Drosophila melanogaster: one gene and its partner. The protein of the gene in region 2 interacts with the protein of the main gene of each other region in a biochemical or structural test. Each region holds a gene or a part of one and is shown on either strand. Other genes may lie near its edges.

What was found. The genes of interacting proteins can lie anywhere in the genome.
Region 1: of the proteins of rho (region 2) and spi, one has a biochemical effect on the other in vitro, tested with the Drosophila melanogaster proteins (7 studies listed by BioGRID).

Annotation. Positions count from the first base shown.
Region 1 is NT_033779.5:19,573,553-19,580,573, reverse strand, and holds the start of spi (spitz), read left to right. Parts: upstream 1-3,258; 5' UTR 3,259-3,388; intron 3,389-4,986; exon of another isoform or gene 4,987-5,039; intron 5,040-7,021. Other genes in the region: Pmvk (phosphomevalonate kinase), read left to right, coding at 444-517, 621-1,116; msb1l, read right to left, coding at 1,566-2,534, 2,600-2,776. UniProt on the Drosophila melanogaster protein: Ligand for the EGF receptor (Gurken). Involved in a number of unrelated developmental choices, for example, dorsal-ventral axis formation, glial migration, sensory organ determination, and muscle development. It is required for photoreceptor determination.
Region 2 is NT_037436.4:1,460,406-1,470,329, reverse strand, and holds rho (rhomboid), read right to left. Parts: upstream 6,520-9,924; 5' UTR 6,200-6,519; intron 4,865-6,199; 5' UTR 4,844-4,864; coding exon 4,508-4,843; intron 3,841-4,507; coding exon 3,423-3,840; intron 3,291-3,422; coding exon 2,977-3,290; 3' UTR 1,386-2,976; downstream 1-1,385.

The sequences.
Region 1 (7,021 bases), on a different chromosome or scaffold from region 2:
AGTGGTTATCGTGGCGAACAAATCAGGATAACAATTTTATGAATACCTTTGCGGTTCTCAAGCTGAACGAAATTCAAAAATCCCGCCCGATTGGCGGCCAATCGATGACGGTACGGTTTCCACTCGAGCTGAATGAAATTCAAAAAGCCCGCTCGATTGGCCGCCTATCGATGACGATACGCTCCAGCTGGTTGCTGTTCCAGCGAAATACAAAAGGTAAACAAATGCGACTTGGAGCACAGACTTCGAATGGAGCATTAGCATAAACACAACAGGCCGCAGTGCCGGAGTCAAGTGGCAGGGCCCAGGGTGAACACAACCACATCCAGTATCTGATGAGCACAGCGTAGAACTTAGGAAATCGAGGCCACAAGCAGAAGCAGCAGGAGAAGCAGCGGTTGTGAAAGAAGTTGGCGAGCAAAAGTGAAAGTTGCGCCAGAAAAATGATGAAAATTGTACTCATCAGCGGCAAGCGAAAGTGCGGCAAGGATTACATATCCGAGAGGCTGCAGCGGAGGTGGGTGCAGTGCATAGCTAGTCGTAGAAATCTTGCCAATTTGTTAAATTTGCACTGCTTGCTGCAGAAATATTCAGACAAATAAAATCCAATTCCATTCCAGATTGGGCTCCCGGTCGTGTATCGTTCGAATCTCAGAGCCCATTAAGTCGGAATGGGCTCGCAAGCTGCAGTTGGACCTGGACGCTCTCCTCGGTGATGGACCCTACAAGGAGAAGTACCGGCGCGACATGATTGTGTGGAGCGACGAGGTGCGGGCCCAGGACTACGGCTACTTCTGCCGCGTGGCCATGGAGGAGGCGCTGAGTCGCCAGCAGACGCCCTACATTCTGGTCAGCGATGTGCGGCGCAAGAACGACATCAGGTGGTTCCGGGAGACTTACGGGCCGGAACGAGTCATCACCTTGCGTCTAACATCCCGTCCAGAAACGCGGTCTGCACGGGGATGGACCTTTACCGCAGGAATAGACGATGTTCCCTCCGAGTGCGATCTGGATGATCTGGCCGACGGCTTCGACGTGGTGTTGGCCAACGACGAGGAACTCGACCAGGAGGCCATCGACATTCTGCTGGATAGGCTGCAGCTGCAGTATCGATAGAGCTTGGACCTCTCGGCTCACCATGCTTTGAACAAATGTATTTTTGATATATCACGTATTCCGGTCACAAATAGCGTAGTTAATGCAATACACTAGACAAGAATGAAGTTACGTACCTAATAGTAAATACTCTTGGTAACGAAATAGAGCTTGTGTGGCGGTTTTACTAACTTGCAACGTTTAAGACTTAATAGATTCAATGGATATACAAACTATATGTCGCTGATTATCGGTAATAGGTTACTTCAGGAATAAATAGCCCGGTTTCCAAATGTTAGAATAATACTCATGAGCAAACTGCATCCATCAATTTATGTGCACAATGTACTGGCAAGCAAACTAATAAAATGATTTATTAAAAGATGAGTAATAAAAGTATGTGTCGTGAGAAAAGACTATGATTTGGTGGGTTTTGATGGACATAAGGCAATAGTAGCTACTAAGCTGTGTTAGTAAACGGGTCCGCTGAATCCCTCTGTGCCAGAGATTATCCGCAGTTGATCGTTGAAGCTCTGCGCGGGCGGAATCTGATTCTTCTTAGAATCCTTTTCCATTGAACGGGATCGCAGATGCGGCTTATTCTTAACGCAACTGAGTGGAGTTCGCTTTTGTGCGGACAGGGGGGTACTGTTTGTCTTGGGCGTAATGGATCCTCCGGTCACCGGGGACCCCTCCTCTTGGTCAACATAGATCTTTGGCTTGTTGGCTCTGGCGGGCTTGCGCGGTGGCACACGACGCTTGTGACCCAAACGCACTCGCTCCAAATGTTTGTTCGACGGCACTTCTGGTAGCTGCTCCTCGCCAGCGACAAAGGAGGCCATGCTGCTGCCAGTGCTGAGATTCAGGGTCAGTGTTTCCAGGATGTGCTCCAGCATCTGGGCCTCGCGTGCCTCCTCCTCCTCGTCGTCGCAGAAGATGATGGGTGTGCGATCGACGCCCAGGCTGGGCGATCGGGGATCACCATGGGGCTGCTGTTCTGGCGGGGGCGTGGCCATTTTCACCTGGCCCTGCTCCAGATTCGGCTCCTGATACGGCAGCAGCTGTTGCTCGCAAGGCAAGGTTTCTTCCTGATCATAGGGCAGTGAAACAATCTCCAGGGAAATATTGTTGTGTGCAGCAGACGGCGGTGTGCCGAAGCTATCGCAGCTCTCCTCTAAATCCACTTGGGGCGGTGATGCAGGCACTGCTCTCTGTGCTGTACCCACCCTGGTGTCCACGAAGAGATCGGCGAATGTGTCATCCATATTAAGCGAACGAACCTCATCGAGGACCAGTGGAGTGCGATTCAGCTGAGGAGAGCGAGGATCGTTCAGGGAGAAGCCCTTGAGCAAACGTTTTCGCAGCATGGAGAAGGCATTTTCACTGGTGGTCACATGCTGCTCCTCCTCCTCAACGCGAGGTTTTGACGCCTGCAAGAACTACAACGCAGCCATCATTACTAGGGTTAGTAATATCAAAAAATACCTAATGCCTATAAACTCACGGTTAAAGGCGTGCGGCAGCCATTTGGTGATCGAGGATCGAGCAAAGCGTTGTTTTGCTCTCGATTCGGCGTCGTCATTTCCATTTGTTCTCGCTTTTCGCTGGCCAGGCGCATTTTGTTTAGTGTCGGCGTATCCGGCAGATATTCACCTTCCATTTTTGTTGCCTTTGCTCCCATTTTAATCAAATAATCTGACTTATTTTGCGACTTCTCACTAAATGTTGCGGGGTAAAATAAAATCGTTGCCGCGCATTTGTTTTGAAATGGCGTCGTGTGGAGTTGCCGGATCAGGAAATGCCAACTGGTAACAGTATTGTTAACGTCAGTCTAGCTATTTTCAAGCCAATTCTAGCAGTGATTACAAATGGATTTTATCACTAGTTCTTTCATTATTACTAATAACTAACTAATCGTTACAAATATAAATAGAAATTAAACAACGTTTGGGATATTTAGAACTTAAGTCTGTAATGTTTAGGTGGATTCTTCTTGTTTTACTCCTCTCAAATAAATTTATGAATTGATTTTTATTTATAGTACATAAGAAAATGTAAAATTCAGTAAACAAATAAACTAATATTAAAGTTATCAGATATTTTTTTTAATTTCGCTTTACAGCACTGATTTTTATGCTGCCTCGCGATAGTGTCATCTCCCTCCAGCTAAAGTCTGGCAACACTTGTTCATTTAAGACGCGACACAACGAATTGTACTCTTTCAGTTTTTCAAAAAGAAAATGGCATGAAAACAGGCCAAAAAAGTGCGACAAACGAAGAGCTAAATCCCAAAGTAAGTGGTAAAGTAAGTGATAAACATCCAAATGAAAGCAACCCAAATGCATACATAAATGCGCGAGTGTGTGTGCTAAATTATAACAGTAGTGACTGTGTACCTTCACGGAAAAAGGGAAATGAAGACAGGAAACTGGGTTTTTTTACTCCAGATGACTATTTTTATTGAATTTACGCAGTTGCTGTACTAAATAGGCGAGTGTTTTTGTGTATGTGTGTGTGGGCGCCGCAAGCAGCAGTAAATTCTCCTGTGTGTATATGTGTTTTTTTTTTCTATGGCCGTCTCCTTTTTACACACACTAGCGCACAATACAGCTGCGCCTTGTTTTTTGCCGACATTTTTTCTGCTTAGTTTTATTTATTTTATTTCAATTAGGCAGACAAATTATTTTGCTCGCTTTGTGGAGCCATCAATGTGGGTTAGTAAGCTAAAGTGCTGCGTAAAATTGCGCTATTGTTTTATTTGCCAATTGTAGCGCAAAAAGTAAGCAAATTGTATACACACAAACGCCAGAGCGCATGTCGTGCAGACTTTCTCTCTTGCTCCAAATTGCGAGTGTATGCATCTGCGTTCGTGTGCGTGTGAGTACTGAAAACAACCGAATTTCATTCATTGCTCATTTCCGAGAAAAACTACACGCTACACTCGTCGCCATCTGCAATTGCACCTCTGTGTGCGTAAGTCACTGTATCACAAGTACATTATATGAACTATGTATATAGGAGCCGCTGCAGTTGTGCAACATGTTAATTGATTCCAGGGGCTGCTGGGCGTGGCAGGTGCAAAAGCCCCTTCCACCTGGCTTCTATTTACAGAAACTTCTTCCCACTTCCAGAGTTCAACATTCTTGCTCTTCCCGTCGCTTGACCGCGTTTTTCAAACATTCCACGAGCGGTCTTAGCACACTCACACCGGCACGCTATGTGTGTATACATACGTATGTACGTATATTGATTTCAATCAACTTTGAAGCGCGCTCTGGCCTTCTCCTTCGCTCATTCGGCGGTGTGCTATGCTCTGCCTGTCTCTCTCGTGCTCATCTGTCAATTGAGCACCACGTCCGTTTGTCGGCTCATCAGCAATTTACACAGACACACACTTCACCGCGCTGCATCCGTGTGGGTAAATTCCATTTCCTGTTTATAATATTGCGGCGTCTTGTCTGTCTGTCTGTCTGGCGTACAGCGGAGACGCAAACCAGCGTCCCTTTCGCCTTTCGTTCCGCTCATCTCGCTGCACAATGGATCGATCCTAAATAAGCATCTTTTAAAAAGTATTCAAAGTTTGTAAATCGTAACGCATAGCAAATATATTGTTATCGTCATAGTTTGTCATGGTTATAGTTTTGTTAGCTTATTTTTGTTATTCTAAACATTTTAAATTAATACTACATCTTTTTGCAAATCGGATATCCGTCTACTTTCGCTCTTATCCCACGTACATATCTCCCACTTACGATCATCCGCGAGTTTCGGTTCCGTAGCACGTTACCTTACGCATCGCAACCACTGTGCCGTTGGCATTGGAACGCTGACCGCTTTGCGGCTGGGAACGATGGGGAATCGGAACATCCGAATGCGACGCGCTCCGCTCTTATTCGAATTCCCAGCCTGATCCGGCTGTCACTGCTCTTGTTGTTGCGGCAGCGGTGAGTTGAGTAGTACAGTACGTGCCACTTCCTTTACATTCAGAAAAATAAAAATTGCTCACACACACTCATGCATGTATACGCCTAAAGCATACATAAACAGACGTTCCGGACAGACAGACAAACATTGAGTGGAGCGTTGGGAGGGGAGCGGTTGCTTGGCGTCTGCGCCGTGTGTTGTTGCTTTTATGCTGCCCCTACTTATTGTTCTTGTACAGTTGCAAAGCCACTCACATGCGTGTGTGTGTGTGTGTGTGGAGCCAAAACAGTGAAAACGAGTTTGATGTCTGGCTAGATATGGCAACTCTGTCGGCGAGTGCACATCCCCCCAACCCCAAGCCCCAAGCACCCGCTTATTAGAAGAGAAATACCGCAGAGCGTTGTTGTTGATTTTACGTAAGAAGGCCGTCGAACTCAGCATAGAAAATGGTGAGCGAAAGAAAGAGCGGCCGCGAGATAGATGAAATATGGGGGCCCACGACCAGAACCACAGCCAGAGAGAGTGTGCATGCAAATAGGTGCGAGTGTGTGCGTCTAATGATTACCGTTACTATTTGCATGTTGTCTAGTCAGACGTCTCGCGACCCAGACTGTGCGACCCACCAGGCAATTGGCGAAAAATTCTTCGTCGTGACCTTTCATCGTCATCGTTTCAACCGGACATCCAAGCTATATGCATATGTATGTATGTATGTGTGCGTGACAGTAATGTTGTTTATTGATTTTATTAGCATTGCCTTCGAATTGGCTTTCCGAATGAGCATACAAATATATACGACAATGACGGTAATGGCGGTAAAAACGTTAGCAAATTGCAAGAATGCACTGAAAAAAATTCATACAGTGGGGCAATTAAAAGTACATTAATGTCTCTAGGGCTCTAGGAACTCTGCTGGTTCGTAACATTTAGATTGCAGATATGAACTAACTAATATCGGCCAAATTACGCGAAAGAAAACCAATTACAAAGCGGTCTGGAGGAATCCTTCGCAAAGCATTGCTAGTGCTGTGACTGCAGCTGTACACTTGCCACTCAGTTGCGTGCATTTCTGCATTTCTGCCGGCTGTGGTTCAACGTCCTAAGCCGCACACAACAAGTGCAACAATTGTAACATCAACAAAGCAACAGAACACCGCAAAAGGGGCAGAAAAGCGGTGTGGCAAAGAAGCACAACTTGATGGGGGAATCGGATTGGGAATGGGAATGCACAAATGCAGAAGCGAAGCGACGAAGATGGCAAACGGAATGAGGGCAGGTCCTAGGGCAATCCATTAACATTTTGCCCATCGCCCATCCCCCATCATCATCGTCATCGTCATCGTCGTCATCTTCTTGGTATTATTGTACAGTTGAACCTGTAGCACTGAGTCCCGTCCCGCTGGGCTGTGAACTAAGCCGATTGATTGTCCAAATCTCACCAGAATCGAATTGCCATCCGGGTGACTCTTGGTTTCTTTCTTTTCCTGCCTTTTTCTACTTTTCTCCCGCTTTTGGATGCATTCCGACATAACCCAGAAAGCGTGTGCCAGGTTGTTGCTGTTGTGTCGCTTGTGACGTCAATTGGCTGTGGAATGGTGTCTGCGGCCCACATTGCGGACCGACTGCCCACCGGAAACGGGTAGTTGTGCCGCTTTCATACATGCAGTACATGTACATAGGTCGAATCCGCCTTATTAGAGGTGGAGAAACATCGATGATTCCTCGAAAAACATCGATGTTTGTGATTTTTTGAAAAAATCGACGACATCGACGTTGGCATTTCAGTAAAGGAATTCCAAAATCTCATTTACCTGTGAAAACCGCGCCCCAAATGTTTTAGATCGCGTATGGATTTTCCCAGAATATATACATAAAATAAATATATGTAATTTTATAACATAAAGTTACCTCTTGGGAGCTCTCGAAGCTGCAGCACACCTTTTTACCATATTTTTGAGTGAATGTGCAGTTATTGGAGAAACCCTCTTCCAGCCCTGATACG
Region 2 (9,924 bases):
ATGCCAACGGGCTGAGAGGGGGTCAGTTGGATGCCCGCGTTATTTATGTGGATTTTTCGGCTCCGCAGAGCCAGCTCTTGATTCCGACTCCAACTCGCACTGGCACTGGCACTGGCACTCGCACTCGCAGTTGCCGCCGTCGTCTGAGCCTGTCTGACCTCGTCCTCGATTGCTGTTGACATTGTGCCTGAATTTCAATTTGATGTCCACGAGGCGGCAGCTCCTGTCTACCATAAATCTTGCTCCTCAAACTGCCTAGACTCTCCGGGTGCGTTTCGGATGGGATTGGATTGGATTGGATTGGAATGGATTGGATTGGATGAGGTTGGCTTGTCTGTCTTCTTGCACGGGCGTTGGGATTTGGGAGTTGCAAGTGGCGGTGAGTGTCTACTTCGTCCCCCAAAATCCGAAGGCACTAAGCTTGTGCCCCATTTTGGAGGCACATCTGCTTTATTGTGTTGCTGTATCTCTTGTATCGCCCATCGCCCGTAATTGTATAATTTAAGCGGAAATTAATTGACAGGTGCAATCATTCAGCTCTGATTATGCACAATTACTAATTGCAGTTAGCGGAACACAAAAAAGATGTTCTTAGTCTATGTGAATTGTATTACTTACGTACATTTTACTGTTTCATCCAAGTGTTTTATTCATTTTCCGATGTAATCAAGCATCTTTGATTTGCCAACGCTTCCTTGATTATGCATCATTAATAAGTGAAATATTGGGGGATTATACCCTGTACTTTTTTAGTAAAAGAGTAGGTTTGTATTTCTTAAATTAGGTGGGAAGTACAGGACTAATTGAGAATATCCTCAACAATTTCGATTAGTTGTACTCGATCAGCATGTTTCTGCTTTAGTTTTCTATTAAGTGCTTATTGCTAATAGGTATGCATTAGTCGACTAAACGCAAACAGCTGGCAAATGTTTTTGGTTCGCTTCAAGTCCTTCGAGTTGAATGCCGATTTGGAAATTCATGGACTTAGTCCTGCTAATCCAGTTGGATTGAATATAATACTCGCATGAGATGTGGAATCACAGACAATATGAATTATTACAAAATGCGTATGCTGCGCCTTCATATTTCATATTGGGGCAACTATCGATTGGTGGCAGTGGCAACATTCGAGTGGGAAAATTCGTTGACACAAGTCTTCTGCGGAGTGGGTATTAATTAAGGATTTTCTTCGAGTCTTAGTTGTAGTTGCAACCTTTCGCTTTGAATTGCCATATTTATGTGGAGCAAATATTGATTGGGCTGCCCCCCAAAAAACTCATCCAGCAGAGGATACATACATACACAAGCTCAACTCGCCCTGAGTTATTTGTGAAGAAAACGAGAAATTCATATATAATTTAGACATTTATTTTTGTTCAATTTTTCTCTCCTTATTTATTTATCTATAATTTTTTGCTATTTGCATTTCTTCTGTCCCTTGTCTCGTGCTGAACATTTCCGTTTCCTAGTTTGTTTTATTTTATTTTTTTGTTTTGTTTTTTTTTTTTCATCGGGTGGAGTGTGGATCCATTATTTTGGAAAATCGAGTATGCTATCTTGGGGTTTTGTGGCCCAAAAGGATTCTATTTTGGCTTACGCTTTGCTGGCCTTTATGCCAGATTAGCTGTTTTCATTCGGCGATTACTTTGAATATTTCTCTATTTGCGTACGATATATATATATATATATGTATATATATATGTGTATCGGTCAATATGTCAAGTATCTTGATAATCTGCTGGCTCGATTATTTATTGCCCTTAAATTGTGGGAATTAAAACCAAGCGAGCCGACAGCCAAAAACTGAAAGTAAAATAAAAATACAAAATGGGAAATGAAAACGCTTTTGCTTGTATTTTGTTATTACTGTTGTATTCTTGAAATGTTTTGATTTTTTATTTTCTTTGGCTTTTCGTGTGTATTTTTCAATTGGATATTTTTACAGTTGAATTGGTTTGTTTCTTCTCTCTCTTGTGTTGTTGTTGTTTTTTCGTGCTTGTTTGTGTGAATTTCACTAAATTATTAAATAAATAAATAAATAAATAGTTCGCTCAATTGACGAATTAATAAACCCTCGCTGCCCTACCATAAATAAATATAATTAGTAATACTTTCGAGTGTGTGTGTGTGTGTGTGTGTGTAGGGGATTACGATGCTCGATTTTGTAACGCATTAAGTGACTTTAGTATAATTTAATTTAATTTAACTCGATTTGCTTAATTGATCTGAATTGAATGGTTCTTTGCTGTGGTTTTCCATATTTTTTTTGTTGTTTTTGCTGTTGCTGTTGTTGTTGTTTGACTAGTGTGCGACTTAATAGTATTTACAATTTGAAACAATTTGTTAGGAGGGCTAGTTATACCTAAATATATATAAATTATAACACTAAATCCTACAATTCGGAGCACATTATGCTTATGGATGTATAAACAATTTGATACAGTTTGCTGATGCTTCGATTCGATTCATTCGTAGTAATTGCGGCCAATAAATACATAATTTAAGAAAACAGACAAACCATTAATTGAAAACATGGATAAATCATTTAAATCATAGCGAGAGGCGATTAGTTCTGTTTCTCCTCTTTGATTTTCCTCTTGATTTTTACTTGGTTTTTACACGCGAAATAAATTCAGTCTTTGGTTCTATCACAACATTTGTTTACACGTTTCGGCTTCGGTTTATGTTCTCCTCACTCCTCGCACTTTCTTTTTGTCCAGTGTATTTCTCTTGATTTGTTTTTTTTTTTTTTGAGTTTGTGTACTATGTTTCGGAACTGAAACGTTTAACTGCAAACGGTAACGATAACGAGATAATGCTAACGAAAAGCAAAAGCCAAACGAATATCGAATTAGTTTTGAACTAAATCGTTGAGTGAACTTTTCTTTTCCACCAACTCTCTGTCTCTCGATCTCTCCTGAAGCTCAAGCAGATTCCGAATCCCTGCGAGCATGCTGACGACTCCGAACCTCAAACTTAGGACACTCCCAGGTCGTGCAACAGATGCTGGGTAATCACCTCACCCTGCTCCTCCATCAGCTGAGCGGTCACCGTGTTGATCAGGTTGAAAACGATGGCGAAGACGGTGAAGGCACAGTAGACGCCCAACGCTAGCCACCAGATGAGCTGCTCGTACTCTCGGTGACCGAAGTTCTTTAGCACCAGAAAGCCGATCGTTAGTCCTGCCAGGGCTCCCGTCAGGTGGGCAATGTACGACACCTGGGGACCCTTGGCGAAGGCGCTTCCATCGAAGTATTGGGTGTAGAGAGCATAGCCCAGATCGCAGGAGACTGCAAATGGAAGAACAGAAGGGATTCAAGTTAGTTAAGTTAAACATAGAAGAAAAAGATGTGACAAATTCGTGTTTAGGTAGGATAGATTAGGTTCTATAGATTCTAGTCATAAGGTGTGGGGAAACTCACCAAAGATGACAACGGATCCGAGTTGCGTGGATGCGCTCTTCATGTGCGCATAGTTCAGTGTAATGTTGGCCAGATGTGCGGCCAACAGGGCATAGACGCCACCGCTGGCGCCCACCAGGAAGACCTCCGAGTCGACGACACTGGTGCCCAGGGATCCGGCAAAAACGCCCGCCATGTAGATCACGCCGATCCTGGCCGTGCCGTGCATCACCTCCAGGGGAATGCCAAAAAACAGCTGGATGACGATATTGAAGCCCAGGTGGAACCAGTTGGCGTGCAGGAACATGTAGCTAAAGAAGCGCCACACCTGCAGACGCCGGTCCGGCCGATAGACCAGCACCGAATCCGACGGAATCGGAACGGGTAGCCCGAAATTCTGGGCGGGCATTGTGTAGCGGTCGTAGGCGAAGATGGCAATCTAAAATGGACAGAGACGCAAAGAATTGGGGGTTAGTTCTGGGCTCTCGCTCTGATTTATGTTGTTGCTGTCTGGCACGCGACCACGTTCCAAATAAAGTCTTATGAGAATGCTTAGGGGCGAGTCCTGCCAACTTGGCAGGGCTTCAAACTCACTAAACTCATACGCCCCGTGGGCCGCCCTGTTTATTTGATATTCGTGCTAGTTTCTATACGAAGCAAATTATTTCCAATACGAATGTAAGGGGTCATGTAAAAGTGTATTGTTTATTTTAAACTCAATGTTCCAAGTTACCAATTTCGCTATCAAACTAACTATCATTTCCATCTTCTCATCTTCCACTGTTTTTCACATGACAATTTTTGGTCTGCCCTTAAAAAATAAAAAAAAGAAAAAACTACGAACGGTCTGGTTTCATAAACTTTTCTGTTCGCTTTTTTTCCTTCGGCTGTTTTGTTGTTCAACTTGTTTACAATCGATTTTCGGGGGCGCCAGCGAGTCAGACGCAGAAAACGAAACACGAAAAGCGAGGAAAACTCTCGGAAAACTTCCGCCCTTCGTCGCCGCTTTCCGCCCCCTATATCATTTTTATCGCTCTTGGGATGAAAGTTTGCGGCTTCTTTGATTTAATGGGTTGAGTTACTGAGTTCGCTGTGTGTGTGCTTACCTCAATGATGGAGATCACTAGGATGAACCAGGGCCAGTGCTGGCGGTGGACGTACTTCAGCAGGCCGATATCCTCCGACTCCGGAAGTGGCGTGGCCGGGATGGCCTCGCGTTGCATGTAGATGTGCTCGCCTTGGCGGGTGCAGCAGGTGCTGCTCGCCGTGCTGCAATCGGTGTCGTACGACGAGGAGTTGGAGGAACTGGAGCACGCGGCGGGAATGTCAATGATGGTCTCCTTGGCGGCGGTGGCATGCTCCTCCTCCTGCGACGCCTCCTTCTCCTTCTCCTGGCCCAAATCCACCTTGGTTTCGTTTACATTCTGCGTTAAGTTCTCCATGCTGGCGCCGTTGAAGAAATTCTGGAGAAAGAGAGGAGCGCATAAAGTGTGTAATTAATTAACTTGAACCGAACAATAAACAAAAATCAATTAAGTGCATAAGTTATTCATAAAACGCAGCACAAAACAAGAGCAATTACAACACTTCAGAAAAACCAGAGTGTGTGGGGAAATGCAGCAGAAATAAAAGAAAAGCGAAGGAAAAGCCTGCTTCTTTGTGGGTAAGAATTTTGTTTATGGCCTGGGACACGGATTCCGATGCCTGCAACTTCCTGGCTGCTTTTCCCCGAAGGGAAAACTGGGTCAGCTTGTGTGAGCTAACCATAAAATTTGATGGGCCAAGTTTGCTTTTGTGGCCCGAAATTAGCTGGACAAAATTGAAGATGTAGCTTGTGTAGCATCTACGCCGTTACATAAACTGCACTTTCAGCCCTGAAATCATCTTCGCTAATGGCCAACTAATCAGCTAATGGCCAGGCATTATTGTAATTCATTGCCCAGAGACATTTCCTCACAAATTATGTTAATCGCATTCGATTCAATTACAGTCACAGCACAAATCTTCTTAAATTCCCCAAACAACTGTTCGTCGCAACAAGGAAAAAAAATAACAAATTCATTGCCTTGCTCAACAAAAAAAAAAAAAATAAACTTAAAAAAACGCGTTTCTCCCACTCACACTCATTGTGTTCGCATATGCCCCCTCTCTCTCTTTCGCCTCAAGTCGCATTGCACACACGCACCGTTGTTGCTTTTGTGTCTGCTACCTACACTGCTCGAAAAAGTGAGTGGGTGCCGTGCCTTGGCTGGCGCTCTTTTCATGTTCTTCATTTCGGTTGCCTAGCAATTTCAATAAGGCACGAAATCGCAGTCGGCCGCTTATTAATTAATTTATTTATTAACTTTAATTGCAGACTGCACCGAATGTCCATGCGAGCATGAAGAAGAGATGTCGAAAGCGGGCTTTAAGACATAATGAATTAATTCATTCGGCCTTCTTTTCATCATTTCTTTCTTCTCATTTTTTTTTTTTGTCTGTTTGGTCAGAAACATAGTTTCACATGGCCCGCGGTGTAATTTGCATTTTTTATGCTTTCTGCTGCACTCGCACCCCTAAAAAAAAAAACGGGCAAAGGGTGCGAGCGAGAGAGATAGAGCGAGCGGGCACACAGGTTGAACAAACTCATTACGCCTCTAAGTTGAAATGCTTTTGTTTTGCCGCTGTGACAATTTCTATTGCAATTTGCACATTTCTTGCATATCCCTTGTGGCTTGTAGCTTGTATCTCGCAACTCATATTTTGTATCTTGTATCTTTTAGCTCTCGCGCATTTTCTCATTAGGGTCGGGGGCTTACCTTAGGTTTTTCTGCCTGTCGCAATGTTTATAATCCAAAATGCGTGGGTTTCTTGTAATCCAAATGTCTTTAGTTAGCTGGCATATTCGCACGTTTTTCACTCGCTTTTTTCGGCTCGCACATTGGTAACTTAGTTTTGCTGCTCGTAAATCCAGGAGCTTGTATTCAGATATTCTTGAGATATATATTCTCTGCTTGCACCCACACACACGACAATTTGAATATTTCTTTCTTTCAGTTTCAATTTCAGTTTCGAGTCGCAGTCCGACTTTCTCAGTTTGATGATCTCGCGCTCGCGGCTCGCACGCAACTGACTTTCGAAAGGCAAGGCAGCCGGCCTTTATAAGTGCTCGCTGTGCGGTGCAGTATAAGAGAGCCACTTCGAACATGTTGTGTTTTGGTTCGGCCGTATAAGTGTTGCATGGCACATCCGGATCTTGTCTTGTGTGGGTGGGTGGGGTGTGCGCACTGCAGTCACTCGACTGCTGCAGCTCGAGGCGAGCGGTTCGAAGGTTTTTCGTCGCTGGTTATTCACTGGTTTCCCCCATCTGCCGCCTTGCCACATAACGGTGAATGACTCATCCAGACGGGCCAGCACTTCTTGCCAATGCCACTGACTAACAAATGCGTCGTCTTCTGTCTTCTGTCTTCTCGCCGATCTCCAGCGATCTGCGCTTTGTCATGGCCTACTACGCAGATCTGAGCTCTAATCTCTGCAATGTTGCGAAATTCTAGCAAGGCCTTTGCGTTTAATTGCCTTTCAGCAAAACCGACTTTTATCTCATTTTATATTATTACTAGTAATATATATTAACGTACTAGAAGAGGTTTAAGCTCATTTTAGTTGTATTTGTAAAGGTACCAAGTCCATTGTTTTGCTGAGTTTCCCGTCGATGCCTTTAAACAAAGACAAGAAAGTCAAACAAATTGTTAACACAATTAAAGATGATGAAATCGGTAGTAGCAGTCGCTTTTTCTTTAGCTCCGCACTTTCGAATAGTTTCCAGAAATAACTTCAATGTCACAATTGCTCACAATGGTAATGTAAATTAGTTTCTAAACTAAAAAAACTAGCAAAACTATTTGCTTGCTTAGAAATAGTTTTAAAATTCCTCTATTGATACGTAACCGTTCAATAGCTAAAACATTGCTTCTATAATTCTGTTGTTTTTAAGGGAACGTGCCACTGCAAGTGGCCAAAAATGCAAATAAAGTATATCGGCTCAGCAATGCAGAACATGTCATGGAATCGAATTCGAAACCGAGCCCCGTCCTGATTCCCCTTGATTCCCCGATTCCCCGTAGAAGATCATCATTGTCAGGGGTTTCGAATTTCACACCTTTTCCAGCGAGAGCTCCCTCGGAGGCGTTGAGCGAGCAGATAGAAATCGGTAGCAAAAATAAATATTTATACAAATTATTAGGCAGCCTGAGCCGTTGCAGTCACGAGTTCGCGGGAAAGGTCACCACGGCATGTTGCACAAAAGGAGTAGCTTTCGGCTTCCTGGCCGAAAGGATCGAGACGACGTGGTTACGTGTTTTGCATGATAAGCTGGGAATTTACACAGATCTAATAGATAGATATACCCATCCTGGCCAGTCATCCTCATCGGCGGCATGAAAACTCCCGCATGAAAAGTGAAAATATTTTCACTGGGCGCAAAAGAGAGGCGAAACAGATTCAGAGTCCTCGTCCTCGTCCACTGAGATTTATGATGACTTTTTAACATGTGCGTGCAACAGGTAAGCAGATACGAAAACACAGTTGCTGCACTACATGCCCATGACCAGGCACGTCATCAGCTCGGAGTTTCTCAGCTCATCTTCATCGTAAATCCTTTTTTCCCACGTTCCCTCAGGTCGAGTTCCTCCATCCTCCATTGCTGCGTTTTCATTGTGCCAGACACGCATTGCCAGCACTCCACGGACATGGACCCACTGGCACTGGCAAGGTCAGCCACCGTACCAAAGCAATCTCAGCCACCCAAAACACTCGAGCTCGAATTCAGGTAACCGAGTGGGCGTGGGTAGGACGTGGGCTTTTCCCACGCAGGACAGGACGTTGATTCCTGGCCCGTCGCCCGGGAATTTCCCCCAAAACATGTGCTCAACATATGCGAGTGCCTCATGGCATCGCGAATCAGGAAATTCCGCCCGCCACTTGCGCTTCCCGCCGCACAGCAAGGTGTCCTTTTTCCGCTTCCCAGAGTTTCGTTTCGCGACTTTTTGTTGCAGCCGCACTTGTCTTCCGCAAGTTGCGCCAAATGTTTCGCGATGTGTGTTTTTCCCACCGCATGTTTTCCCATTTTTCCATCCTGCCCAAGGATCTTAGCACTAATCATCCGACAGGGGCGCGTCTTTCAAGCAGCTTCTGAGAAGGCAGATGCAAATGGGATCGTGCGATCTGGATGATGCCCTGAGTCCTGAAAGCGACTCACTTAACTGACTCCGCAGCAAAAAGGGGAATTAAAATTCGTATCAAACTGTTGTTTTAATCATTTTGATTTTGAGCAGAGGAAAAGCTTGCGAAATAGAATATAACGACAACTTCTTGAACAAATTTGCAAACAAACAAATAACAATGGAAATGCCAGAAGTGACGGGCGTTGAAGATACCAAAGGGGCGAAATACAAACTTGACGGGCCAATTGCAAATGGCAATGGGAGTGGAATTGAAAAATTGATTGAGAATGAAGGCCAATAATAATGGAGTAAGTAATGAGACTGTCCACAACAGTCGAAGGAATCGTGGGAGTTGTGTCTCCCTTCGCATAAAAGGAGCAAAGAGTCCTGGCCAAGAAGCCAGGGAATGCTCGAAATTTATCTATTGGATTAAGGTCTCTTTTGTGGACGTCATTATGGCCAATGCTAAAGACAAATTGGAAATTTATTGTTATGAACAGCGTTGGTGGACGGAAGGAAGGAAGGAAGGAAGGGAGGGAGCGTAGCAAGGATAACAGACCAGCGAATATGCATAATAAAAATGTCAATCAATGAACTGCAACGAACCGAACGGAGTCCACCGCTTGGGTCAGTGGTGCTGCCACGATAATTGAACATAAACATTGCATTCAAGTAGCAATTGTTCAAATTATTGTGCATCCCAAATCCCAAAACCGAATCGAGAAGCCCAGAAACCAAAACGAACGCAGGACAACGGCATTGGGTTTGCGGTCAGTGCAGCAGCAGGACTGAAAATAAGCAGTTTTGTCCAAAAAAGGACATTTGTATGTATGCCGAAGACCGCTCGGAATTTGGAATGGTTCCCAGGACATGTCGACACTGGCATTTCTGGCAGCCAAAAGGAGACACCAGTGCAAACACAAATGTTGATGCCCGCATTTCGCCCAGACGCTGAGACAAAGCGGAAGGCTGGTCAGGGAGCTGGGCAAACAGTGTTTCCAATGGCCAAATCCAAATTGGCTCTGACTCTGGAGTAAGTCATCAGAATGAATAAATAAATAGAGCTTGGTGCGTTGCGGATAAGAAAATCAGATAATGGCATGGGTACATGGGAAAAAACAATTTAAATAGCGATCTGTAAAGTGATAGGATACTTTGTTAATACTTTTGCTGACACGCAAATTGAGATTTCAAATTGGCATGATCAACCGAGTTGGTTGATTAACAAACTAACCAACTCAAAACCTTCACATATAAATCACATCGTCCACACTTAAGTTGCGTCGCATTCGCATTTAATTTGAGTATTCAGCAGAACTCCT